3 linked regions of the Lonchura striata genome follow. The protein of the gene in region 3 binds, or shares a complex with, the protein of the main gene of each other region. Links are inferred from orthologs where the notes say so. Each region holds a gene or a part of one and is shown on either strand. Other genes may lie near its edges. The genes, in order: TIMM10, TIMM10B and TIMM22.

Region 1 (5,711 bases), on a different chromosome or scaffold from region 3:
AGCGTGGGGTGTCCTTCAGCAGGTGTAACTCGCTGGGTGTTTATGTCCCCTCCAAGTGTCCCCGGGGCTGTGTGGCGGTGTCCGTCTGTGTGGGTGCAGACTGTCCCCATGTGAGTGTCCCCATGCCCCCTCCCCTGTGGTCTTTCCCAGGCAGAGGTGTACCTGGGTTGTCCCCACGTGGTCCCATCTGTGTATCCTCAAACAGGGCTGGGTGTTCTGGGAGTGTCCCTGTGCCCTGCCCCTCGGGGGCTGTGTGTCCCTGTGCAGGGTCCTTGGCTGTCCCCTCTGGTGACCCTCAGCACAGACAGACAGGGAGGGGCTGAGCCCTGTCCCACCCCACTGGGGATTACAAGGGGCTCAACCCAGCTCTACCTAATCCAGGGGATTACACGGGCTGGGCCCAGCCAGGGGGGGCACCCTTGGGTGCCCCCCACAAGGACATGGCACGTGGCAGCTGGTGACAACAAGGGGGGGCTCCCAGCAGCAATCACGGGCAGCACGTACCCCAACACATGGCCACAGGGTGGGTTTGGGAGGCGAGGGGAGCACAGCAGATGCCCCAGGTTTATTGGGGTGACGGGTGGGGGCTCAGGCAGTGCCACTGCCCTGCTGCATTCGCTTGAGCAGCTCCTCGTCCTGCAGCGACAGCTCCGTCAGCTTCTTCCCCATCCGCTCGTGCACCTCCAGGTACTTGGCCACGCAGCGGTCCAGGCACACGCATTCCCCTTTGGACAGCTCCGACTCCTTGTAGTGCGGGGGGACACACTTGCGGTGGCACGCCTTGGTCATCCTGCACGGACCGCACCGCGCCTGAGCCCCGCGCCAGCCGGGACCCGGCCCCGCACCCCAGCACACCCTGTACCCCGCCATTGCCACCCCCAGGACCCCGACCCCGCACCCCAACATCTCCGGTACCCTGCCATCACCACCCCCGGGACCCAGCCCCGCAGCTCAGCACCCCCCGTACCCCCCGTTATCGCCATCCCCGGCATCCCCAGCCCTTGCACCCCAACACCTCCTGTACCCGCATCCTCACCGACCGGGACCCCGGCCTCTGCACCCCAACAAGCCCAGTATCCTCCATCATCACCACCCGGGCACCCCTAGGACCCCCCGCCGTCCCACATCCTCAGGCATCTCCGGTTTCCTTCCCCATTTCCCGGGTGTCCCCTAGGACCCCCGCACTCCCCTACAACCCCAGCACCCCGGGGTCCCCCACTGCCTCTGACACGCGCTAGTGTCCCCCAAGCCACGGTACCCCAACGCCCCCAATGCTCCCTCCCGGCGGGCCTCACCGATTATACATGTCGGCCATCATCTCAACCTCCAGTTCGGCCGCCAGCTGCTGAGCCCGCAGCGGATCCATAGCGGCCAGCACCGGCCCCGTTCGGATTCAGCCCCGATGGCGGTCCCTCTGGGCCCGACCCCGCTCGGATCCGCCCCGTTGGACCGGCTCGGTCCCGCTCGGTTCGGGACCCGGCGGCGGCTCCCTGCAGGAACCACGTGGGCGCCGCGCTTCCGCCCACCCGCGCGCTGGCCCCGCCCCGGCGCCGGCGCTGACCAATCGCGTGCAGGCGGAGGCGGGACCAGGGGTGCGCATCTGTCGCTGATTGGTCCCTCGGAAGGGGCGTGGCGGCGGCTGCCGAGCGGCGGGAGGGAGCGGCGGAGCGCGCGCTCTGCCCGGCCTTTGCCCCGCAGGGGGCGTGGTCACGAGGAGGGGGCGTGGCCTGGCGGGAGGGGGCGTGGCCACCGCCGGGACCTCACCCGGGCACGGCCGGGGGGCTTCGGGTCCCTCCCCTGTGTCCCGTTCCTCGTGTCCCTGGGTCCTCCTGTGTCCCGCCGTCCTGCCCGGGCTGTCCCCGTGTCATCTGTGTCCCCACGTGTCTGTGTCCCCCATTGCCCCTCGGGAATCTGTTCCCCCCGCGCTCCCCACGTCCCGCGTGTGCCCGTATCCCCCGCGTGTCCCCCGCGTGTCTGTGTTCCCCCCCTCGTCCGTCTGCCTGTGACCCCCAAGTCTCCCTGTCCCTGCCCAGGGCGTCCGTGTCCTCTGTGCCCCTCGGGTGGCACGGTTCGGTCCCCACCCGGTGGCTGCTTTGGGGTGTCGCCGCTGTCCGGGTGGGGCTATGGGACTGTCCCCCCGCCCCAGCCATGGCCGGGTGTCCGGCCCGGCCCCACGCGTGCCCCGCGGGTGGGCGGTGAGTGAAGGCGGCACCTGCCCCCGCCGGGTAAAAATAGCGCCGGGCGGGGGGGCTGGGGCGCAGCAGGGGCGGCGGAGCGGCAGCAGCCGGAGGGTACGGGCCGAGGGGCTCCGGGGGATTCCGGGAACAACGGGGCCACGCCAGGCGGGGGTGGAACGGGAGCGGCCGGGAGCCTGCGGGCTGGGGGGCACCGGGCAGGAGACCGGCGGGCAGCAAGGGAGACCGGGAACGGGTTATAGGGGGCCGGCAGCGGGAACCGGAGGGCACGGAGAAGACACGAGGGGCCGGGAGAGGGACGTGCCGGTGCCGGGATGAGATATGGGTGGTCGAGATGGGACACGGGGGCAGGAGGGAGCACAGGGGTGTTGACACGGGGCATGAGGGCAGTGGGAGGGCTGGTTTGGGGCGTGGGGGGCTGCAGGAAGACGTGAAGGGACCGGGCTGTGCTGTGGCGGTGCCGGGACGGGGCATGGGGGAGTCGGGGTGGGGTAACTGGGGTGCCCAATGTGGGAGTGCCGGGGCTGGAGGAGGGCGTGGGGGCAGGGGCAGGAGGGGGGTTAGCCGGCCTGGGGGGCTATGGGGGGCACGGGCAAGCCCACGGCGTCATCGAGCCCTGTGCCCCTGCAGCAGTGACCGCAGCAACATGGAGGCTCTGGGAGACGCTGAGACCCCCACCTCGGACACCCCCACCGCGAGCACCCCCACCTCGGAGACCCCCACCCCCGGCACGCCCACCCCCGGCACCCCCACCCCCAGTAGCCCCACTCCGGACACCCCCTCTGACCCCGCCGCGGGGCCGGGGGAGAGCAGCGGGGAGGCGACGGCTCCCCGGGATGGGGAGGAAGCTCGGGAAGCGGGGGGCGATGCGGGGGACACGGGGGGTGAAGGGAAGAACACGGGGGGTGAAGGGGAGGATACGGGGGGCTCAGGGAGGTGCGCGGGGGGAGAGGCTGCCGGGGATGGCGGGGCAGAAGCACCCAGGGGTGCCGGGGACGATGCCGGAGAGGCCGGGGATGGTGGTGGTGATGCCGAGGCAGGGACAGCCGGGGGCACCGGAGCGGGTACCGAGGAGGGGACCGAGGAGGGTACCGAGGGAAAAGCGGCCCCGGCAGCAACTGGCAACACCCGGCGTCAAAAGGTGAGGAGGGGCTGGAAGGGAGGTGGCGGCACAACCGGGGCAGGAGGTGGTGGGGAGGGCAGCTGCGGTACAGATGGGGACAGAGTTGACTTTACTGGGGCAGGGTGAGAGTGCCAGGGCCAGGATGACTGTGCCAGGGACATTGTGTGAGTGACACTGACCGTGCTGGCAGTGCCACCCTGCCTGTTCCTTACAGGAACCCACTTGGCTTCAGGACGAGGACGATGAGCTGTGGCCTGAGTTCCCTCCCTGCTCATCCCCAGAGGGGGCCACCAGCCCCACGTCCCCCACGTCCCCTACGTCCCCCATGTCCCCTATATCTCCCACATCCCCTATGTCCCCTGTGTCCCCAGCATCCCCAGCGTCCCCCACAGGTAAGAGACATTTGGGCGATGGCACCCAAGTGTTCTGGGGTCACTGCTGCCCCACAGTGTCCATCCTCCTCTTGGGAGGGGACCTTGAGCCCCAGAGGTGCCAGGGGGGTGTGGGTGCCCTCTTCCACCCTCTGACCCCTCCTCTCTCCTTGCAGCTGGCACTGCCGAGGACACGGGGGGCAGCAAGAGGTGTGTCCCCACAGGTGGCATCCCAGTACCCCACGGCAGGGATGGCCCCCCACAGCCTCCTGCTCATGGCTGTCCCACCCGTGTGTGTCTGCAGGGGTGCTCCAGCAGGGGGGACGCGGGACAAGGCAGCCCCCGGTTCAGCGGGACAGAGGCTGAGGCTGGAGGGAGCAGGGGGACGGCCACGAGTGGGGACCCGGGCACAGGGGCGCAGCGCCATCCTGGAGAAGTTTGGAGGGTGAGGAGGGCCTGGCCCTGTGGGGGGGCAGGAGAGGCATTGAGGGAATGGGGGACCTGGGGTCTTGTGGGGGCTGTAGGACAGCCAGGGACAGTGAGATGGATGGGTCATGGAGTAGTGGGGGTGTTGGAAGGTCATGAGGCAATGGGAGGGACAGGGGAAATTGGGGGGCATGGCAGGGGCATGGGAGAGTGGCAGTATTGGGGGCACAGGGCAATGGAGTCATAAGGGAACTGGGGGTCTGAGGGGCAATGGTGGTACAGGGGGAACATGGGGCAGTGAGGGAGGGCATGGGACACGGGATATTGGGGGGCATGGGGCAATGAGGGAGGGTATGGGACACGGGATATCGGGGGGCATGAGGCAATGAGGGAGGGTATGGGACACGGGATATCGGGGGGCATGGGGCAATGAGGGGTACAGGGAGGAATGGGGGGTCCATAGAGCACTGTGGGGGGGTGGGACAGGGGGGGCTGTGTGACCATGGGGCAAGTGGGGCGTTGGGGGTCCAAAGCCACGGGGTCACAGAGGGGCTGGGGTCCCTATGAGGGACGGTGGGGTGTGGGGATCCCACAGCCCAGGTCTCCCCAGGGCTGCCAAGGGCCCAGCCCCACACCTGCGGCGCTCAGGGGGGGCTGCCACGGTCAAGATGATGCTGCTGGAGTGGTGCCGCGCCCGCACCCGTGGGTACCCGGTGAGTGCATCTGGGGGGCGGCAGGAGGGTCCGGTGGGGGGTCCGGGCGTGGCCTGACACCCCTGTCTGCGCAGCACGTGGACGTGCAGAACTTTTCGGGGAGCTGGGGCAGCGGCCTGGCCTTCTGCGCGCTCCTGCACAGCTTCTTCCCCGACGCCTTCGACTTCGCCGCCCTGGAGCCCAACTCCCGCCGGGACAACTTCGCCCTGGCCTTCGCCACTGCCGAGTGCGTGAGCGCAGCCCCGGCCCCTCGGTGCCCCCGGCCACCCCCGGCCACCCCCGGCCCCGGTGACCGCTGTGTCCCTTCCCGCAGGGAGCGGGCGGGCTGTGCCCCCCTGCTGGAGGTGGAGGACATGGTGCGGCTGCCGGTGCCCGACGCCAAGTGTGTGTACACGTACGTGCAGGAGCTGTACCGCTGCCTGGTGGCCAAAGGGCTCGTGAAGACCAAGAAGCGCTGAGAGGGTCCCTCACAGCCCCCCGCCTGAACCATCCCCCTCCTCGTCCCCTGCTCTGTCCCCCAGCAGTAAAGGCCATGGTTCCAGGAGGTGGTGGCTTCGTCTCTGGAGGGAGGAACGCTGGCACCAAGCGAGTGTCTGGGCATTGTCACCAGGTTGGGGCACAGCCCTGGCTCTGCCACCAGGAGGGTGACATCCCGCAGGGCTGGCACGTGGAGGGCAGCAACTCCTGGAGCCCCCCCACTTTCCCAGTGAGGCACCACGGAGCCAGAGCAGGTGATGGAGAGAATTTATTGCTTTATGCGTGGGGGTCGGGGCGCGGCTCGGCGTGGAGCCGGGCGTGTTCCTCTGCCCGACGCTGGAACTGCTCGGGGCGCTCCTGCAGCTCACGGGCCACCTTCGGCCGCAGCACCCGCTGGGGGTCGGGG
Region 2 (5,943 bases), on a different chromosome or scaffold from region 3:
CCCCGGCGCAGGCGCTGGCCCCCGTGGGCAGGACAGAGGGGAGGTCGGGCCGGGCCTTATTTATATGCGCGGGAGTGCCCGGCCGGGCCTGCAGGAGCATGTTTTGTACACGGAATATATCAATTTATTTCTGTACTGGGGCTTGTGCTTACCTGCCTTAAGGCCTGTCCCGGACCCGCAGCTCACGCCCTCTGCCCAGGGGCTGCAGCAGGGAGAGAAGAGGCCAGGATCTCCTAGGGACCACGCATACACACGCCCTTAGCTGGTGGGCACTGGCCTGGCAGCACCTGACATCTACCCCCACCTTGCCCCCTCCCCCTGCCCTGAGTGCCTGCTCTGCACCTGACAGTTGCAGTGAGAATGTTCAGGGCCCTGCAATGTCCCGGTGATCACGGGCGTCCTGTAGGGAGACATTTGTCTCCCAGTGAGGTGCAATTCCCTGGATTCCCTGTTGTGCCATGGGTTCACACAGCAGCGAACAGGGGCCAGGGCTCTGGTGCCCTCCCCACGTGTCACACTAAGCCATTACTGTGAAGATGTTTTATTGGTATTCACACTCCACTTCCCAGAAATCCACAGCCAGGAGGGCTAGGGGGGGCCTTCCCCTGTTCCTGTGCCCCCCATCCTCGGTGCCCTGCATAGCCCAGCCGCTGCTCGGGGCTCCGGGGGCCCAGCGCGGATGCTGCTCCAGCCTGGAGCTCCAGCGCAGCAGGGCTGCTGCTGCGTCCGACGGCCGCGGGGAGCTGCGGCCAGGGGCTTCTACGTGCCGGCAGCGGGAGCGTCTTCCGCGGGGCCCGGGGCCGGTCCAGGGGAGGCCGGCAGTGCGGGCGGCCCCGCCGCAGCGCCGTGCTCGGCTGCGCGGCGCTGCAGCAGCGCCGGCACCAGTCCCACGTAGGCGCCCATCAGGCGGTGGTTGGCGCGGACCAGCCTCGCGGCGCAGCTGTCCAGGCACGACTCCTGCGGGGCACGGCGGGGGTCAGGGGGCGCGGGGGCAGCCGGCCCGCGGCCCCCGGGCCCCGCTCACCTCGCGGCCCGTGAGCAGCCGGTAGTTGAGGTTGCAGACGCAGTGGCGGAAGCAGAGCTCGGTCATGCGGTTGTAGACCAGCAGGAAATCCCGCAGCTGGGGAGCAGGCGCGGATCACACCGGGCGGAGCCGCTCCGGTACCCCCGAAACCCACCGCGAGTCCCGGCGCGCCCCCCGGCCAGCCCGAGTCCCTTCCAGGGCCCCGCCGGCTCTCCTGCGACCCCGGCACCTCGCGACCCCCCAGCTGGAGCCCCGGGACCCCCCCGAAGGCCTGGCGGGACACGCCGCCCCCGGCTCACGCTGCGGAGCTGCTGCCGGTGCTCGGCCGCCGGGTCCATGCCGGGCCCGGCCCGGGCCGCTCCCGCCGCACTCCCCGCGCCGTCACATCCGCCCGGCTCAGCCATGACGCCACCTCCGGGCCCTGACGGCACTTGCGGCGCGCCCGGGCCGAGCGGAGCGGGAGCGGCGCGGGGGGCCCGGCGGGGCCGGGGCGCAGGTGGGGCTGGGGGGCACCGGGGGGCCGCGCACGGCCAGCGGGGCCTGGCCGAGAGAGCCCCGGGAGCCGGGCTGCGGCCGCCGCCGCCCGCTCGGGCCGGCTCCGCCGGGAGCGGCCACCGGGGGTTCCCTCGGAGGTCGGTCCCGTCCCGGGGCCTTGCCGTGCGTGGCTGCGGAGGGCTCCGTGCGGGCGCTGCCCCCGCCCGCCGCGGGGGCTGTGGGGCTGCGGGGCCGTTCCGCGGCCGGGATGGCCCCGGGCGGTGACAGCCTCTGCCCGCAGGGCTCGCCCCCCGCGCTGGGCCGGGCCCTGTCCCCGCCGGGGAGGGCACAGGTCGCAGGTAACGGGTTCTCGGGAGCCCGCCCCGGGCCCCGCCTGCTGTCGAATGTGCCCGGACCGGTCCGAGCGCAGCGGGCCCCCTCCCGCTCTCCTGCGGACGTGGCTCCCGGCGCCGCGCTGCGCGCTGCCAGCGCCGCTGTCCCGGGGCACGGACTGCGGGGATCCCGGCAGGGTTCGTGAGAGGGGGCACGGAGTGCGGCCCGAGGGGCGGGGGAGCCCTGGAGCCCTGGCGTGATGGTGTGGGAGCCGCAGCGGTCTCTGGGATGTGCCACCCCACGGGTCGGTTCTGGGGGCCGGGGGTGTCCCGAGAGACGGTGGGGCCGGGCTGGGAGTGGCTGCAGGAGGCAGCGGGCAGCCTCTGCTCGGTGCCAGCGGCTGCCGATGTGGGCCCTTCTCTCTGCGCCGAAGCCTCCTGCTGTCCCAACACGGCCCCGCAGTACCGGCTGTGGCTGCTGCCCCCGGCCGGGCGGTGGTCCTGGCCCCAGCACCACGGCCGTGTCCCTGCAGGCCCTGAGGATGTCGGACGGGATCCTGAGCAAGGCAGCCACCATGGAGATCCCCATCAGCAGCAACGGGGACACCAGCAGCCTGCCCGAGGACGATGGCCTGGAGCAGGTCTGGAGCTCGGGAACCCTAGGGGGTGTTTGGGTTGTACCAGGGCTGTGCCATCTCTGCCTCTCAGCCCCTGTGCTATTCTGCCCCCCAGGACCTGCAGCAGGTGATGGTGTCAGGACCCAACCTGAATGAGACCAGCATTGTGTCAGGTGGCTACGGGGGCACGGCTGAGGGCATCATCCCCACCGGCACCATCAAAGGTAGTGGAGTTGGGCTGGGAGGGAATGGGGCCATCGTGGGACCAAGGGGCTCATCTCTTCTCAGTGCCCCTGACTCATGACACGAGGCTGTGCCACAGCCTGGCCGAGGTGGCTCCTGGGTGGGCTTGGGTTCTGTGTAGGGGCAGCATGTGGCAGTGTGCACTGATGGCAGAGGAGGGGCTGCTGCCCCAGCTCCGCTCTCCCTGGGCTGCTCCCCTGTCACAGGGTGGGCTCTGCTGGGAATTTCCATCCCCTTGGTCAGGACATCCCCGTGAGATTCTGAATCCCTGCTTGGTGGAGGATCCCTGCTGTGTCCTGGTCCATGTGCAGCGGGAGCTCTGGAGTGTGCTGGGGATGAGGGGGCAGGCAGGGGCACAAGCCCACACTCTGCTGACCCCTTCTTGCTGTCCCAGTCAGACCGGGCCACAGCGGGGCCAGCTGGGCTCTGCACCCTGGGAGACCTGGCAGCACTGTCCTTGTTCCATGCAGATCTCTCCCTGAGAGATCTTCCCCAGGGCCTGAGGAAGGTCCATATGGGCAGAGAGGGAGACTGCACGGGTGTGCACTTCCCCGGAGCACCGCCACTGCTGGCCCGGTGTCCCTGTGTCTCTGTGTCCCAGCGTGCTCGTGATGCCAGGCCTACCCAGCCCTTGGAGTGCAGGGGTTCCTGCACAGGGGCCAGAGGTGGGGGTTTCCTGGGCTGGGGCATCCGTCTGTGAGGCTGTGGCAGTGTCTCTGGGTTCCAACGCTCACCTGCTGCCGTCGCTCTCCCGCTGCCGCCCGCCCGCGCACTCGCCCCTGTCCCTTGCCCCCCCGTCCCTCTGCCCTGGCTACCCCACTGTGCCATGCCCTGTGCCCCCATCCTGTCCTGCCCCACACTGCTCAGCCCCCGCAGCCCCCCCATTTCCAGGCTCTCTTGTCCACCCTCACCCCCCCCGAGGACCGTCGGTTGCCCCCAGCGCGCCTGCTGCCCGTAGGATGGCCCGCCCGGCCGCGGCTCCCGCAGGTACTGCGCCCCCCACTCCACCCCGGGCGTCCCTTGGGTCTGGGGGCCCCGGGCCTCCCTAGGGACGTTGGTAAGAACCCCCATGGCGGCTGTGTCATGGCCAGAGCCTGGTCCTGGGGCTGATCCTTGTGCTGGGACAGACGACAGCACTGGTGGGCCCAGGGGTTTCAGAGGTGGGTCCTGGCCAGAGGGGCCCACCCTGCCCCTGGAGCCCACCTGAGGGGCTCCCAGTACTACTGGGCAGTGTTCCCCCTGTGTCCAGCCTGGTGACAGCAGTCGGCAGGAATGGGGCAGGGCTTGGTGCAAGCAGATATGGCTGGGCTGGGATCTGTGCCCCTGTGTGGGACCCTCAGGGGGGCTGGCAGGAGCAGGGTCCTCATCACAATGCCTGTGAGCCAGTGCTGGGCATATGCCTGGAGCTGGGCATGCTGTTGTAGAAATAGCAGCTCCAGGACAAGGGCTCTGGAGGCTGGGGCTGCCCGTTCCCCGTGGCTGCCGCCCTCGTGCAGCTGGTGCCATATTCCTGTCCCTGTGCCAGGCCCTGGGCTGCACCCACCACCCCCAGGACCCCCGCCTGGTGGAGAAGAGGTCGTGCGCGGCATTGCCGTTGAGAAGTTCGACATTGTCAAGAAGTGGGGGATCAACACCTACAAGGTGAGTGTGAGGGGACACCAGTGGGCCTTCCTGCTCCCCTCCCATGAGGAGCTGCTCTCGGTGTGGCTCGGGGGACTCACAGGCGCCTTGGGGCCCTGTGTCCCCCTGCTGCAGTGCACCAAGCAGCTGCTCTCGGAGCGCTTCGGCCGGGGGTCCCGCACAGTGGACCTGGAGCTGGAGACCCAGATTGAGCTGCTGCGTGAGACCAAACGCAAGTACGAGAGCGTCCTGCACCTGGCACGGGCGCTCACGGCCCACCTCTACAGCCTCGTACAGACCCAGCACGCCCTGGGGGACGCCTTTGCTGACCTCAGTCAGAAATCCCCTGAGCTCCAGGTGTGCCAGGGCTAGGGGGATGCTGGGGTGAGGGCAAGGACACCTGGGCACCAGGGCTGCGGGAGGATGGGGAGCACCCAGACTTGGAGGGGACACCTGGACACTGGCACTGGGCGGGGCAGGTGTAGCTGGGGTTTGACACTGGGGTTGTGGGGGTCAGGACTTGGGGAGTCACACTTGGACACCAGGGCAGCAACGTGATCTGCACAGGAGTGGCTGTTGTGCTGGTGCTGGCCTCGGTGGTGCTGCGTCATGCTTGGCCTTGGTGGTCTCGGGGCTTTTCCCCCAGCACCCTTGACAGAAGGGAGTGGGGATGTGATCCGTGGCCCTTCACCTGTGCCCCCATCCCTCTGTCCCCAGGAGGAGTTTGGGTACAACGCGGAGACGCAGAAGCTGCTGTGCAAGAACGGGGAGACGCTGCTGGGCGCCGTTAACTTCTTTGTGTCCAGCATCAATACGCTGGTCAACAAGACCATGGAGGACACGCTCATGACAGTGAAGCAGTATGAGACGGCCAGGTGGGCCAGCCCTGGGGGGCTCAGGGCTCCGGGGAGGGCTGGAGGCAGGTCGGTGATGCCGGGACTCTGCGCAGGTTGGAGTATGACGCGTACCGCACGGACCTGGAGGAGCTGAGCATGGGCCCGCGCGACGCCGGCGCTGTGAGCCGCCTGGACGCTGCCCAGAGCCAGTTCCAGAGCCACAAGGACAAGTACGAGAAGCTGCGGGCAGACGTGGCCATCAAGCTCAAATTCTTGGAGGAGAACAAGGTGGGTGCAGACATGGGAGGTGTGGGGTGGGGATGGGGGGCACAGGAATGCTAGATGCAAGACAGAGGTGGGGCATGCAGAGATGGGGCACATGAGGAGGAGGGGTTTGGGACAGGGATGGGAGGGAAGTGCAAAGATAGGGGGCACAGGGATGGGGTCCCTGCAGGGATTTGACATCCACGCTGCATTTGTCACTCGAAGACACGAACTGGGTGGAACAGACAGTGCAGAGGGGGAGTGGTGGCACTCGGGGGGCCTCAGAGGGCTTTCCAAGCCCTTTTCTGTGCTGCTGGGGTGGGCTCAGGCCCTCCCAGTCATGATCCCCTCCCCCCCAGATCAAGGTGATGCACAAGCAACTGCTGCTGTTCCACAACGCCATCTCTGCGTACTTTGCTGGGAACCAGCAGCAGCTTGAGCAGACCCTCAAGCAGTTCAACATCAAGCTCAAGACCCCTGGCGCCGAGAAGCCCTCCTGGCTGGAGGAGCAGTGAGCTCCCTGTGCCCCCCCC
Region 3 (7,164 bases):
TCAATTAGAAGCACTTTTAAAAGCTTTCTTTTAATTTATGCTCCATAAAACAGAACAGTTTTTTTTCTTAAGGAGAGTGAGAGAAGTTTGCTATTTCTGATGAGCAGAGCAGCTCTCTCCTACTTAGGCATTTTTCCAGATGTTACCACTAAAGGAAAAGTCTCCACTAGTGCTGCTGGACTAAAACCCCACTTCTTGTTTACACGTAAGTAGAATTGTCTGTTTGAACTGATACTTGAGAAAGAAGAAAAGCATTTCACATGTGGTACAAAAGAAGAGAGTTCTTTAGTTCTAATTTCAAAGGAGAGTACTAATTTCAAAGCAGAGACAGTGAAATGGTAGATGTGTAGAGCTCAGTTAGCACGAGAGCTTCTGTATGTATTTTTGGCTCTCTCCCATGACACCACAGAAAAGTGTGGACAGCCACCACCATCTCCTGACTTTCTTTCAAGTGAATTTTGTTGATTTTCCTCTATGACCAACCCTTCCTTATCCCCACTTATTCTTGGAGCTGACAGTTCTGCCAGTCTGGAGCACACTCTCATGCTGGCATCACCACAACCCCATGCAAAGAGGTTTGTGGTGTGTGTGCTGCACTAAGAACATCGTGTGCTGCATAACCAACTTCAATCTTATCACAGAAACAGTTCCCAGCAGGCAGCACCAACCTCTGAAGCCGATGGCTCCTCCTGTGATGCAGCCACTGATAACGCTGTTCTTCCAGTCTGACTTCCCACGATACTGTGGAATTACAAATCAGAGCCAACAAGTAAATATGGAATAAATACTCGGTATCTCTGCTAGCAGCAAGGTTAAACGACCTTCTTCCATCCCCTTCTCAGCTGAGGATGTTCTTCCCTCTGCTCTCAGCAGATGGCCCTGCACTCCCAGCCTTGCAGGGCCGGGAAGGGAGGAAGGAGCAGGTAACTGGGAGAGGTGAGACAAATCCATACGGTGCAATGCAGTGCTGTGGCAAAGATCCTCAGGAGAGCCAGGACAGCCCCCAGAACACAGCCCTGAGTCTAAAAGTGCAATAACTACATCAGAGCAGCCCTGGTCCTTGGCACAGGTGAGTCACAGCAGCTGCTGACAAAGGTGGACTATTTCCATAGCCAGGACATGCTGGATTTTCACCAGTGCACAGATCTCTTTGTTCTGCTCCATTGTGCAAGCAGATATGGTTTTCTTCTAGATGAGTTAAGAAGTAATTGTGCCTTTCAATTAAAAGACAGGACTCAAATTCGTAACAGGGTAATTTTCCTATTAAAAAAAACCCCAGATGATAGATTTACCACTGAGCTGCAAAAGGTCATTTCTGACTGTAGGGGCCAGATGAAAACTGGCCTGTTACTCAAGAACTTGCATCAAATGATCCCTTTTTACATATGGAATTTTTAGACACTCAAATTACCATGTTGCAACTCACAGTTTGACATTTTACACAAGCACTTGTAGCTAGGCTTTAAAAAGTAATGCCTATGCTTGCCAATACATTTAGGACTTAAAACTGAAAAGGACTTTGCTATTGCAAAAGTGTTCTTCATTCTGTCAGAGAACAGCAGCTCTGAAGACAGATCTCAAAGCTGAAAAGCTTTGCTGGCCAAGAAAGAACAAAGCAGCCCATTCCAGGATATATGTACTTATTTGGATCTAGCAAAAGATGTTAAAGAGTACCAGAAATCATTTTTTAATGGTTGGGTAGGCTCTTACTCACAGATTCTACCACGCATTCCGTGCAGGAGAACATGGCACCCACGATGGCGAAGTTCTTGGCGTAGGAGATGCCTCGCTGCCCCATGTCCTTGAGCACCTCTTTGGCCGTGGGCGTGCGATAGGGATCCTTGGGATCAAACCCCACGTTGGTGTCAATGCCAGCTGTGAAGATACCGAACGCACCTCCCAGAACAAATCCTGTGGAAGATAAACAGCGGAATTAACAGGGCTGGGTTGGAGCAGCACATTCCCTGCAGGGAGTGAGGCGGCTCTGCTCCTGCTGTGCGTGAGCGCTGCACTGTGACAGGGCAGGAATCTCTCGGTGCCATGGCCACTTGTGACAGCCCGTGCTGTGTGAGGAAAGCCGTGAGCGCCTGTGCCTCGCCAAGGAAGGCAGACACAGATCCCTGCCTGCGACATGTGACAGGCACGGGAGGAAAATCAAACACGGGGACTGCAGCCTCTTCTCCATCCTTCCCTTTCCCGACCCCACAGGGACCCCCGAACGACCCCACAGGTGCCCGCCCCGTCCTTCCAGCGGCCGCACCTCCCACGCAAGCCAGCGCCGCCTTGAAGGGGCAGCTCTCCATGACCCGCTCCACCATCTTCTGCTCCTCGCTCTTGGGCGGGCAGGGGATTCCGCCGAGGATGGCGGGGTCCCAGACGCGGGGCTGCCGCTTGTCGCCCACGAGGTGCTGCAGCAGGAGGCTGTACTGCAGCGGCGGCGGCGGCGGCGGCGGTGCCGGCTCTCCCGGCGCTGAGGGCGGCGGGGCCGCCATGATGGGCTCGCACACCCTCGGCGCCGCGTCCGGGCCCGCTAGAGCCGCCGCGGCGGGGGCGCACGGGAGTTGTAGTTCCGCAGCGGGGAGAAGCCTGTTGCGCACCGCTACGCTTTGACTACACCTCCCAGTCTGCCCCGCGCCGGCACCTCCGGACAGAACTACCACTCCCGGCACGTTCCGCGGCGCGCCGCGGGGATTGGCCGTCCCGGGCATGCAGGGGACTACATTACCCGGCGTGCCGCGCAGCAGCCCCCTGGCGGCCGGTGCAGGTGAGGTGAGGGCTCCGGCTGCGGAGCATCCCCGAGCGCGGCGGCGGCTGCAGGTGAGCGCGGGGCGCTGAGGGCAGCGCGGGGGGACCGGCTGGGCCGGGGAGAACCGGCAGCGTCGCGCCGGGCGTCCCCGTGCTGGGGGAGCGTTGAGGTGCCGCAGTGCGGGACGCGGTCCCTGTGCCCTGGCTGAGGTGCGGGCAGCGGGCGCGGTGTCCCCGCCGGCGGTGTCTGAGGGCAACAGGTCCCGCGCGGGGCGTGGGGTGGCCGTGCCCGCAGGGTCCCGGCGGGGCTCTGAGGGCACGGGGGATGCCCGCGGTCCCGGCGGGGCTCTGAGGGCACGGGGGATGCCCGCAGGGTCCCGGCGGGGCTCTGAGGGCACGGGGGATGCCCGCAGGGTCCCGGCGGGGCTCTGAGGGCACGGGGGATGCCCGCGGTCCCGGCGGGGCTCTGAGGGCACGGGGGATGCCCGCGGTCCCGGCGGGGCAGCACGGCCCAGGGCACCGCAGCCTGGCAAGGGCTGTGCCCCGCCGGAGCCCCGGGACAGCTCGGTCTCCTCTGGCGCAGGGCAGCGGTGTTGTTTCGGGACATGTGCGCTGAAAATACCCACAGTGTTCCATCACAAAATGCTCGTGTCAAATCACGGACAACCCCAAGCTCTGGGGGGCTTGTTCCGTTTGGTGATAAGGTGAGAAATGTTGCTTTTCCTTTTTGGTAAGCAAGGTGCAGTGAGCATTAAAAAAGTCTATGTTCCTTGCTTGTGTTTCTTTTTTTTCTTCACCTCTTTTACTTTCTTGTTCTTGTGGACTACAGCCAGTTTTCATCTTCAAAAGTGACAATTGGTGTGCCTTAAAAATATCTTTCTTCTTATTTGATATTTTTCTATTTTAAGTAACCCATAGGTTTTAAAATCTATGAGAAATAGTTTTCTTGGTTTCAATAGGATGCATGGAATTGTTGTATTTCAGTAATTGAAAATTATTTAAAAAATTAAGTAAATGATGCATTGGTATGAAATCATCCTGATACCCTGAAACACGACTTTTTAGAGGTCCTAAACTAATAAATTTTCTTTTCCATTTTGATCCTTTTTTCTCTATCTTGCTTAAATCTTTCTGTAGGTAGGTTCAAATAAAAATTTAAATGGATAATTTTATCACTTCAAATACTTCATCAGACGAAGTTCAACAACTTTCCTGTAAATCCCACTGCCCTCTGCTGGCTGCACCAGCAGGGCCCACCTGCCCACTGCTATTCCCTCTTTTGCTTTTTTTTTTTCGTCCTTGGGGTTTTTTTAATAATGGAGTTTTTTGTTTGTTTGGGATTTTTGTTTATTTGTTTGGGAGTATTCCTCCCACCTTTTCTTTATTTTTTTTTTTTTTTAATTTTTTTGAGGTCAAATCCCATGAAAAAGCACGTGGTTAAAATCTACTCCAGCAGCATCTTGACAAGGTAGGGGAGGTTGCTGGCAGGATGATCTCCCTAAGGAACCCTCAACTTAAGATTTCAATCTTTTTGATCCAAAATAACCTTGCTGGGATGATGTCGAAGTCACACAGCAAAGCCTAATTTCTAAAGGCCTAAAGGGAAAAAAACATATATGTTGGATTGGGAATTTCAGCACTGAGAGTTTATATGTATAGTTTAAATATTGCTTTGACTTTATTTGCCCTTTCCCTGCATTTTGGAGAAAATGCTGGGTTACTAGTTGTAAATAAAATATTTAAGCAAGAATTTTGTAAATATGATTCTATAAAATATACTTATTTATGGATATTAATGTGTAATTAGATGTTATTTTTTTCCCTTCGATATTTAATAGTTTTCTCCTCTTCCCATTCTGTTCTACACATGAACAAATTCTGGTGCTTGAGTATTTGAATAATCTCATCTGCCTGAACAGATTTTTCGTGTAGGTGAAATCAGATGGAGGATTAAGGATTTGAGAGGTAATATGAGAGTTCAACACCTTTGATAAACAAGATGCTGAAATGAAACTTTCAGCTGGTTCTTTTTTCCAAGCCTGTGAACCTCCATCACTGCAGGGTGATGCATCCAACCCTCTTCCTTCTCCCTGACTGCTGTCCCTAAGCCACTCTTTTACCCTGGAGCTCTTCAGTCCGGTGCAAGAGCTCAGGTTATTTTTAACCTTGCCCAGTCCCACAAAATGAAACATTTTGAATTCGGGCAGCAGCGGGCACAGATGATCCCGAGTTTTTGTGCTGCTCCAAGGAGCTCGGTGCCTGTTTCAGCAGAGGGCAGCACACGGTGACACTGAATAATTGCAATTCACTTGACCTTTGCAGTGACTCAGTGACTCCCACGCTTCAGTCTTCTCCAGACAGGATAAATCTTGGAAATAATGAGGGGTTTGTCAGAAATCCTGGTTTTGCATATGTCTTGGTTGCAGGGTTCCCAGGTTTTGAATAGACTCTAGCAGTGCTATTAAAAAAATAAAAATCAGTTTTTACAGTCCCCAACTTTTATTTTGTCAAACTGCCAGTTCCAGAGTGTTTTCTGAAGTTATTCAGCTGGTCAAGAAGTGACTGAAGGTGGAAGTCAACCAGAATTAGATCAAATGCATTCTTTTTCACTCATTCTTACCTGTGGACACTTTTTTATCCTTATCAGAACTGTCATGATGTAGGGGTGAATGACAGAGGACATAAATTAATGGGTACTTTAATGGAAAAAGGAAAAACGTTTAATTTCTATAAGCAGAAGAAAGTGGGGCTTCTTTGAGGTGCTCACACTGCTGATCTCACTTGTTGTGTACAAAGAGGTTTCCAGTGGCTGCAAAAGGGAAGGTGCTGGGACCTGCTGGGCTTCATTTCCACCCTTTGGCATTCTCATCTATACATTAAATTTCATCCTTTCCTACTTCTCCTTGACCTTGTGAATGTGATGTTTTGTATTTTTTTTCTTCTTTAAAAAACTAAGTTTGGAAGTGTACTGGAGAAGTGAAGTGCTTTGTGAAATACATCTTATTTCAGTGAAGGAAAGCTGCTTCAGCTTCTACACTTTCCTTGGCTTTTGAGTTTAGCAAATTTATTTGGTTGAGAGTGCAGCAGGGCTTTTTTTTTCTTCTGAAGTTTTTTTTGTTTCCTAAAGCTTTCAGTATTGGAAAATACTGTGTCACTACCATGGCAAACAGCTAAAGTACTAAGAAAAAGGTTAGGTTATAGGTAGGTGGCAGGTGTATTGGAGTTAAAACTCAAAAGGAATCCTGACTCACTGATTTTCCAATTTTTTTTTGGGTTTTTTTTGCTTTAGTTCAGTATAAAATAGGCTGCAGAGAGAGATCTTGGGCTAAAATCTCTTTTTAGGATCAGCAGACTCGTTCCTTGTGACTGTGCTTTGTAGCTCAGAGAGAAGGAACAGGATGTGGCTTTTCAAGATGAGTGTTTGATCCTGTCTGCTCTCTCCAGTGTTTTAGATCTCAAAGTCTGCATCCCTTTTGAAAGTAGGTGGTTTCTTTGTGTTTGTTCCACTTCAGCAAGGTACTTCTTCTCTTCACAGTTTACCCAATATTACACATATTTTTGTTTTCATCTATAAAATTTAAAACACACTTGTGTGGTCTAAAAAAAAGTTTCAGGCATCATCATCTTCCAGGGCTTTCAGCTGTTGCTATAGAAGCCTAAATTCTCTTTGAGAGACCTTTCCAATAGAAAGAAGTTGATACTGCAGGAAAGTTGTCATGGAAATATGCAGCAAAAAGAGAAAGGAAATCTCAGTTTGATGACTGTAACACAGGCTTAGGCAGCCTGGTGAAGTGGCTCCCTAACTGGAGATCTGCTTCTGCAGATTCTCTTGGCTGTGTTGTAGTGGATTGGAAAGCTGTGGACTCAGACCTAAAGAAATAAATTATTTAATGTTTGTATAACCAAACAAACCTCTTCAACTCAGAAAGCTTTATCCAGATTTGAGTTTCCAGGTGATGGCAGACCAGGAGATTCCCAGCAGCCTGGCTCTAATGGGGGATGGAGCTGTGGCACAGCTATTTCTTATATTTCTGGCAATGACCACTCTGAAAGGATTTATTGAAGTACCATGATTGAAATGAGTCTTTCAGAATAATTTTTTAAGTTGACAAACTAAAAATAGTTTATTCTGCAAGCTTCAGTGCCATTCCAGATTTGAACAGGAGCCCTTTGTGTCCAGCTAAACAATGGGATAAGCAGATCCCTCCCTATAAATTTCTTATACCATCACCAAGCCTGGAAGGCTCCCTGGTTTCAAGCTTTTTGTGCCTCTCTTACTAAAGCCTCCTGATATCTAGTGAATGTGATTATGAGTGAGCTGCCTTTAAATATCTATTACCAGAGTCACCATGGTAACTGCTGTAAGAATTTCTTGCTGGTAAAAGGTTTCCAGCTCCCCAAGATACAGCAGGGCAAAAT

What was found.
Region 1: the proteins of TIMM22 (region 3) and TIMM10 are in contact, whole or in part, in a cryo-EM structure (PDB 7CGP), measured with the Homo sapiens proteins. The link is inferred for Lonchura striata from reciprocal best matches to the Homo sapiens genes TIMM22 and TIMM10. Residues at the interface, in NP_037469.2 of Homo sapiens: Tyr25, Ser26, Leu28, Leu29, Gln30, Tyr31, Leu32, Val33, Arg40, Leu42, Leu47, Gly48, Glu67, Glu144, Ser145, Tyr146, Gly148, Ser150; in NP_036588.1 of Homo sapiens: Pro3, Ala6, Gln7, Leu9, Ala10, Ala11, Leu13, Glu14, Val15, Met17, Met18, Ala19, Tyr22, Ser44, Lys45, Gly46, Glu47, Arg53, His62, Glu63, Gly66, Leu69, Thr70, Ser73, Met74.
Region 2: TIMM22 (region 3) and TIMM10B share a complex: the UniProt entries of both Homo sapiens proteins name them as parts of the TIM22 complex. The link is inferred for Lonchura striata from reciprocal best matches to the Homo sapiens genes TIMM22 and TIMM10B.

The regions. Positions count from the first base shown.
Region 1 is NC_134608.1:53,145,106-53,150,816, reverse strand, and holds TIMM10 (mitochondrial import inner membrane translocase subunit Tim10), read right to left. Parts: upstream 1,522-5,711; 5' UTR 1,367-1,521; coding exon 1,296-1,366; intron 791-1,295; coding exon 589-790; 3' UTR 529-588; downstream 1-528. Other genes in the region: SMTNL1 (smoothelin-like protein 1), read left to right, coding at 3,158-3,259, 3,533-3,710, 3,866-3,899, 3,994-4,134, 4,726-4,828, 4,903-5,054, 5,142-5,286; ubiquitin-conjugating enzyme E2-18 kDa, read right to left, coding at 5,582-5,711.
Region 2 is NC_134604.1:116,965,471-116,971,413, reverse strand, and holds TIMM10B (mitochondrial import inner membrane translocase subunit Tim10 B), read right to left. Parts: upstream 1,419-5,943; 5' UTR 1,363-1,418; coding exon 1,324-1,362; intron 1,121-1,323; coding exon 1,025-1,120; intron 958-1,024; coding exon 760-957; 3' UTR 526-759; downstream 1-525. Other genes in the region: ARFIP2 (arfaptin-2), read left to right, coding at 2,373-2,471, 2,563-2,671, 3,567-3,677, 4,216-4,331, 4,446-4,667, 5,028-5,185, 5,260-5,434, 5,770-5,925. UniProt on the Homo sapiens protein: Component of the TIM22 complex, a complex that mediates the import and insertion of multi-pass transmembrane proteins into the mitochondrial inner membrane.
Region 3 is NC_134622.1:8,103,424-8,110,587, forward strand, and holds TIMM22 (mitochondrial import inner membrane translocase subunit Tim22), read right to left. Parts: upstream 2,519-7,164; 5' UTR 2,493-2,518; coding exon 2,261-2,492; intron 1,912-2,260; coding exon 1,715-1,911; intron 742-1,714; coding exon 553-741; downstream 1-552. UniProt on the Homo sapiens protein: Essential core component of the TIM22 complex, a complex that mediates the import and insertion of multi-pass transmembrane proteins into the mitochondrial inner membrane. In the TIM22 complex, it constitutes the voltage-activated and signal-gated channel.